Nothobranchius furzeri: one gene and its partner. The protein of the gene in region 1 interacts with the protein of each later gene in a biochemical or structural test. Links are inferred from orthologs where the notes say so. Each region holds a gene or a part of one and is shown in the gene's direction. Other genes may lie near its edges.

Region 1 (3,625 bases):
TTCCTCTACCTGCCTCAAGAAAGATGAGAGCCACTGATCAGGGTCATCACCACCGTGGAAAGCAGGAGACTGTCCAAGGAACATCGCACATGAAGCTCCAGATCCTCCAGAAGCCATGCCTTTTAATCCCTGGAGTTGCTTTCTGCAGCCTTTTGGAGCCCACAGGTGACGAGTTTCACCAGGAGCAGAGACAAGGCTGCAAAACCCCCAAATATAGACACTTATTTACTGCTCAGACATGCAAAGTAAATGTTTTAAACCCAATAAAAATGGAACTCTGCACAAAACTTTTTTTCTTATTTTATTAAAAATATGGTAATCGGATTTAAAATAAAGAAAAGCTGAGCACATGTTTAGTTTAGATGCAAACATCAAGTCTTTGTACAAAGTGAATCCAAACAGATTTAATGATCTGTGTAGAAACGTCAGAGTCCAAACATGCCTGAGATCTCCATCCCCTTCCCTTTTACATGACATATATGATGTTGCTTCTCTGAGGCTTCACACACAAAACATGGCTGATGGATTCATTTCCTCCCCATGATGAAGCTGGGAACCTCGGCATCATCATCTCCCTCTTCCTCTTCTTTCTCCTCCTTCTTGTCCTCCTCGCTGCTCTCGGAGTTCTCCTCTGCCTCCTGCTGGTTTTTCTCCTCCTGTTTAGCCTTCTTCGCCAACAGTTTCTTCTGCTTCAGCTTTTCCCGCTTGTTCCTCCGCTTCGCCGTCCGCTCCTCTGCCGCCTTCTTGTTTAGCTCCACTTTTTGGAGGTACTCCTTGTCCTTGTCTTGCTTCGCGGCAACTTTATCCAGGAAGTCCTGCCTCTGGTACTCTCTGCGGCGGAGGTGCCGATAGACATGGAACTCCCCGCTGCCTGCGCCGGCGCTGGAGCCCATGACATCCCGGACGAACTCCGGCGGAGCCCGCGGGTTCCACTCCTTGGCTCGGTCCGGGATGGGAGCAGGCTTGTCGGGGTTTCGCATCAACCGCTCCAACTTTAAACGCTGTTCATCTGCCGGAGTTTTAGCTATTATTAGAGGCTGCGCCTCTTTTCCTCCAGGTTTTCCTCCGGGCTTCCCTGGCTTGTTATTTTTCTGCGTGTAGGCCGCCATCTTTGAAAATTTCTTCTTCGGCTGCTTCCGTTTCGTACAACTCACCCCGGAAGTACTTCACGACTTCGAAAGGAATTTTTGAAAAAATAAAAAAGTATGACAAGTATAACAATTACTAGTTATTTAGGTCGTAGTAAGGCTGTAATGAAAACATTAATCAATATTTAGAAAGTAATTTGCGCAACTGACGTTGAGTTTTTTTGATTGACATTTGAATAAACCAATAGTAAAGCATATTCGATTTCAGCCAAGCTCAGTTGTCCAATCAGCATCCAGATCCCGCCTCCTAAGCGTATGTGTTGACGGACGACTTTCTCTATTGCCTCTGAGCTGAACTTGTCCGTTTACTCGCCTTTAGTTTTGCTCGACGAACGACAAAACTCATAAAAGATGAACAGTTTAATTAGATCTACTGCCAGGTGTCTCCGCTCGGGCGCGGCGGTCTGTGTGCCTAGGCAAGCGGATGGACGCGTGTGGTCGGCCTCGGTCAGGTTTCTGTGCGCGGCGGCGGACCTCCAGAAGGACCTTGGTGAAATGGTGAAGAAGGACAAAGTGGTGGTGTTTATCAAAGGGACGCCAGCCCAGCCCATGTGTGGCTTCAGCAACGCGGTGGTTCAGATCCTCCGGATGCACGGAGTGGACAACTATGCTGCTTACAACGTTCTGGAGGACCAGGACCTACGAGAAGGTCGGTACAGGGGCAACAGGTTCTCCTGATACCCTCTTTAACGATTTAATCAGTGTCCTCGTTAGCTTTAGCCTTTCATTTACCAGGTCAGTTGCTGTCTTATTCAAACTAACCACACCTCTGAGATGTTTATCCTTTTATCAGAGGCATGCAGCAGGACACACGGGGTGTGGTGAACCACCACTCACATCTCAGACTCTAGGCTCTAACCAGCTCATTTATTGTGCTTTAAATCTCATATTTGCGATTAATGAATGATTCTACTTTTTCAGGAGCGTTTTTGCTCAGCATCATAACTGAGTAGATATGTCCAGATATACACCAATTCTGGTTTTTAGGGCTAATACTGATGTCTTGCTGTTCATCTCTGGCCCAAGTACAAACTTTGATATGGACTGTTTGCGACGAGTAAGCACTTCTAAATGTACAAACTGAACAACTCTAACAGAACATGCTCTATATTGTCCGGTTGTGAACTGAATTCAGATTTTTTTTTTCTGGGTACTTCTTTAAAGTTTTAATGTGCATCGTCGGTGTGTTTTGCCCTTGTTCTGCCAACTTTACATGCAATGACTTTTTCTAACGCAAGGCAACTGTTAGGCTTCAGAGGGTAAATAAAGGTTTGTTATGCGGAAGACAAAATATAAGCAGGCTCTCAGAGGGGAATATATAATATTCATATTTTTAAATATTCCAAAATGGGCTCTAATAACCTCAGAGAACATAACCTCCAGTTTTGTTAGTAACTAGTACATCTCCCTTCACTTGTGAGTACAGAAATCTACCAGATGTCCACCTTTACAGCATAGGAGCAAACCAATGATCTCTCTTCTCTAACACTAGGGGTCAAAGTCTTCTCCAACTGGCCCACTATCCCCCAGGTTTACTTCAACGGTGAGTTTGTGGGAGGCTGTGACATCCTGCTGCAGATGCACCAGAACGGAGACCTGGTGGATGAGCTGAAGAAGCTCGGCATCCGCTCGGCGCTGCTGGACGCGGAGAAGGAATCCAAGTAAAACTCCAAACGGCTGAGAGGACAGAGGACACAGTCATCACTGCCAGCTAAACTGATCATTACAAATAAACTGGCTCTGAAGATTAATGACCTGCAACTCAGCTGGTCAGTCAACGAGACAACGCAAGAATGCTGTTTCACAAGATCCGACAGCTGAGGGCTTTAATCCAAGGTCTGGGAACAGACTTCCCAGGAATTTCAGAATTCCTAACACATTTGTGCTGCTAGTTTGGGATACACAGAACCCCTAAACGCAATAATCCCATCCCGTACATGAATCTGTGTTTAAATAAATCATGGTTTTTATTTGTAATAGTTTAAAGACAGCTCATCAGCCCTCACGTTGTCCTCTGAAATCTCTGCTGTTAGACATTTTCATGAATCAGTTAAGAAAGAAAAGAAATGAGCCTCTGACTGACTGGGTCACCTAAAGCTGCCTGGACCGCACGACTGATGTCAGCTCACTTGAAACCTTCCAGATGCACTGCCTGTAGCCCGTTAGCACACAGAGCAAACGGGCCTAGGAAAGGTCTAATCACACAGTTTCTAACTGAACTACTTGCTCTTTTTGCTAAAGGTTAACATCCAGAATGTTAGGTTTTATGTTTGCCGTCACCGACCGAGGAGACGTGCCAGACCAACACGGATTCCTTCCTCCTGACTCACTTTCTGCCCAGAGGCAGTTAGCTAGTTCGATCCAAGTCCAAACTTTGTTCTTCTCCCTAAAGGAAAAGTGGTGTTATATTTTACTTTTGAGTGTTCTTAAAGATGTTCCACCTACTGCTGAGTTTATTAAACATGTAGAACACTGTA
Region 2 (4,163 bases), on another chromosome or scaffold:
GGCCATCCAGTCCCTTTACCAGAGGAGCGTGAGTTTGGTCCGCATAGCCGGTAGTAAGTTGGACCTGTTCCCGGTGAGGGTTGGACTCCGCCAGGGCTGCCCTTTGTCACCGGTTCTGTTCATTACCTTTCTGGACAGAATTTCTAGGCGCAACCGTGGTGTGGAGTGTGTCGAGTTTGGTGGCAGGAGAATCTCGTCTCTGCTTTTTGCAGATTATGTGGTCCTCCTATCTTCATCCAGCTCTGACCTTCAGCTCTTGCTGGGTAGGTTCGCGGCCGAGTGTGAAGCGGCTGGAATGAGGATCAGCACCTCCAAATCTGAGACCATGGTTCCCGACCGGGAAAGGGTGGCTTGCCAACTCCGGATCGGGAGAGATGTCCTACCTCAAGTGGAGGAGTTTAAGTATCTCGGGGTCTTGTTCACGAGTGAGGGTAGGAGGGATCGGGAGATCGACAGGCGGATTGGTTCAGCATCTGCAGTGATGCGGACGCTGAGCCGATCTGTCATGGTGAAGAGGGAGCTGAGCCAGAAAGCCAGGCTCTCGATTTACCGGTCGATCTACGTCCCAATCCTCACCTATGGTAATGAGCTTTGGGTAATGACCGAAAGAACGAGATTGTGAATTAAAGCAGCCATAATGAGTTTCCTCCGTAGGGTGGCCGGGCTCAGCCTTAGAGATAGGGTGAGGAGCTCGGACATTTGGGAGGGACTTGGAGTAGAACCGCTGCTCCTCCGGATCGAAAGGAGTCAGTTGAGGTGGTTTGGGCATCTGGTCAGGGGAGATGTTTCGGGCATGTCCTGCCGGCAGGAGGCCCCCGGGTCGACCCAGGACACGTTGGAGACGTTACATCTCCAATCTGGTCCGGGAACGCCTTGGGGTCCTGCCGGAGGAACTGGTGGAGGTGGCTGGAGACAGGAAGGTCTGGAGTTCCCTAGTTGGGATGCTGCCCCCGCGACCCGGACCGGTTAAGCGGAGGAAGACGACGATGACGACGAGTAGTATATAAATACATTTTCCTTTTTAAAATTTTATTTACCGGTTTGCTTCCTGTTTTGTGTGTTTGTTATGTTTGGTTCAAGTTTATGAAATTGCTGATCCCACATAGTAAGGGGAAATTAAAAATGCACCCTAAACAAACGGTCAGGACTCAAGAAGTTAACTGAGCCACATGTAGCATGTATAATCTAATATGATTATGAACTGGATGTATTGCTTAATGTATAGTGTTGTGAATTGGTCCAGTATAAATAAAATGAACTACGTTTATTTTATTTTATTTTATTTGCATTATTAGAGGTGAACATCACATTTTTTGCAGATTTTATTTGCTTGTCTTTACCGAGAAAAAAACACTTATTTGTGTAGAATTTAAAAAGTTAACGTTTTGATAGAGTTTTTGCTATCTTTTATCCATTTGATTATGTTATGCTGGCCTGTTTATTCCTTTTTCAATCTGATATTTCCTTTTACGCCGCTAGATGGCAGCAATACAGTTTATAAGGAGAGAGCTGCAGCTTAATCTTTCAGAAGAAGAATGAAAACGTCATTTTTAAGAGACAAAAGTTGTCTGAGGACATGACTTTTTGAATGACTGCTGTTGGCTTTGTAAATAACACGAATTATCGCCCCATTTCCATAATGTTGGCTTTTAAACGCATCTCTAGCAGCACAATAATCTCCGCTCTTCGCTACAACCGAGTACATATTTTTAAATTGGTTCTACTTTGTAGTTTGGTGAGTTCATGAAGCTTCGTGTATCTCATTTGTTTTCTCATGTCTGGTTTCCGCTCAGATGCAGAGATGTCTGTCCACTCAGACAGACGGAGAGGTTCGCATCGCAGAAGTCTTGAAGGAGAAGTTTCCTTTAGCATCAAAGCTCAAAGTTGTGGATATATCAGGTAATCCATTGTGCTAAAACGTTTAGCATCGTCATATGTTGTTCTGAATGACATTAGTTATATTTGACACCAGTTACACATAAAACTTAGCATAGATTTATACATGACAGATACTTATTCAAGCGTTGAAGCGGAATAAATTACTAACCTTTCTTGTTTTCGTGTGTATTTCAGGAACTAAACACAGTTGCTGGCTTATTACTGCTATAGATGCATGGATAGATACATAAAAATTTCATTGTAATTAAAAAACCTACCAGTTTTTGTACAATAACGCGGTTACATACTCTTAGTAACTGACTATCATTTTGTGTTAGGTGGCTGCGGGGCCATGTATGAGATCCATGTAGAATCCAGTGAGTTCAAAGGGAAAAGAACAGTGCAGCAGCACCAGCTAGTCAATCAGGTAACTATTCAGGCTTGCTGTTACAGCATCAAGATAATGGCAAGTAAAAATCAATGAGTCACAGGGTATTCTTCTTACACAACCCAGTCACCAAAAAGCTGATGTGTGTGTCTCCACACAATTTGCCAATACTAGAAAACGTTGTATTTATTTAAATGTAAAGTTATGAATTATTATTATTATTATTATTATTATTATTACTATTACTAGCCTAACGTGATTGCTTTTCCTTTTTTTGTGCAAACATAACATTGCATAATTGGCTTTTCTTTTCAAATGAACTTCTAGCAAAATTATAAAAGTTTAAATGAACATTTTTAAAGCTGGCCGGCCTCATGTGGGGATCTGGGCGGGGCCTTGGGGGTCAGGTCCTGACATGTATGTCGAGGGAGACCCGTGATTATCGCTTTGTCGCGCATGTCTCATTGAAAATGAATGGAGTAGAGGCGATGTCGCCTCCCGTGTGTCGAGCCTATAAATCTGTAAGGCTTGTCACCAGCATTCAGACATTAATTCTGTTTGCTTCACAGCCAGACAGGACACGGGGAAAAAAATAAAAATTTTAAAGTTAATCAGACTCCCCAGTTTTTGGTGATGTCTCTATTAGCAACAGTTATGCTTGTTGGGTCAAAACAAACAAGCCTATATTTTCATTTATTACAATATTATAAGCTGTCATAAAGTAATTTATAATGAAACATGCACTCATGCTGCAAATTGTTTGTATTTTACCATCAAAGTTTGTGAGATTTTTAAGATTATTTTCACATCTGTTGGTGAATTATAATTTGCTTCTTGATTTAATTGACTGTTGTCTTATGTTCTTCACAGGCACTCAAGGATGAAATTCAAGGCATGCATGGCCTGCGAATATTCACTGACATCCCAAAACAGTAGAAAAACTGCCTCCTCTATTTATCTGCACCGTTTTCTTTGATGTTTATCTGATGAGATTGTAAAGCCTTAGACGGGCAGAATGCCGTTTCCCTGCAGTTACAACATATTGATAGTTAAAAATGTAAAATACATGTATAGTTATCTTTTTTAAACAACATAGTTATAATAAGACATCTTCTATTCTGAGATAATTTTATTGGATCAAGGCTGATATACGCACAAAAGTGACTTGTCCAAAGGTCAATATTAAGGCTTGAAGGATTTGTTCCCATTGGGAATCCTATGTTTAATTGAAATGATGCTGGTGTTAAACTAGCAGTCAAAGCAGCAAAAGACACCATCATCATGAGCAGCTACAGACATATTCTTTAAGCTATCATCCTGAGAATGTGACCACAGTTTGTTTTATTATAAAATATACCAACATGTGTGCACAAACTATGTGTTTGTCATTTAAGTGTTGAAGGTTGACTGCAATATTGCATAGACATCGGGGGCAGTTCCACTGGATTGGCAGACCGGGGTGGTGGTCCCTCTATTTAAAAAGGAGGACTGCTGGATGTGTTCCAACTACAGGGGGATCACACTCCTGAGCCTCCCTGGTAAGGTCTATTCAGGGTTCTGGAGTGGAGGGTTCATTGGATTGTCGAACCTCGGATTCAGGAGGAACAAGGTGGTTTTCATCCTGACCGTGGAGCACTGGACCAGCTCTATACCCTTGGGGGTCTTGGAGGGTGCGTGCATGGGAGTTCGCCCAACCAATCAACATGTGTTTTGTGGATTTGGAGAAGGCGTTTGACCGCGTCCGTCAGGGGGCCCTGTGGGGGGGTACTCCATTAGTATGGGTTACCAGGTACTCTGATACGAGTTGTTAGGTCCCTGTATGACCGGTGTCAGAGCTTGGTCTGCATTGTAAGTCGGGCTCAGTCGGTGAGAGTTGGACATAGCTTCCGTTTGTCAC

The links.
Region 2: the proteins of glrx5 (region 1) and bola3 form a complex in vitro, tested with the Homo sapiens proteins (4 studies listed by BioGRID and IntAct, with this or other methods). The link is inferred for Nothobranchius furzeri from reciprocal best matches to the Homo sapiens genes GLRX5 and BOLA3.

Annotation. Positions count from the first base shown.
Region 1 is NC_091742.1:17,910,915-17,914,539, reverse strand, and holds glrx5 (glutaredoxin-related protein 5, mitochondrial), read left to right. Parts: upstream 1-1,371; 5' UTR 1,372-1,499; coding exon 1,500-1,797; intron 1,798-2,640; coding exon 2,641-2,813; 3' UTR 2,814-3,118; downstream 3,119-3,625. Other genes in the region: prkrip1 (PRKR-interacting protein 1 homolog), read right to left, coding at 528-1,109.
Region 2 is NC_091749.1:58,110,963-58,115,125, reverse strand, and holds bola3 (bolA-like protein 3), read left to right. Parts: upstream 1-1,517; 5' UTR 1,518-1,588; coding exon 1,589-1,699; intron 1,700-1,793; coding exon 1,794-1,899; intron 1,900-2,216; coding exon 2,217-2,305; intron 2,306-3,136; coding exon 3,137-3,202; 3' UTR 3,203-3,640; downstream 3,641-4,163. UniProt on the Homo sapiens protein: Acts as a mitochondrial iron-sulfur (Fe-S) cluster assembly factor that facilitates (Fe-S) cluster insertion into a subset of mitochondrial proteins. Probably acts together with NFU1.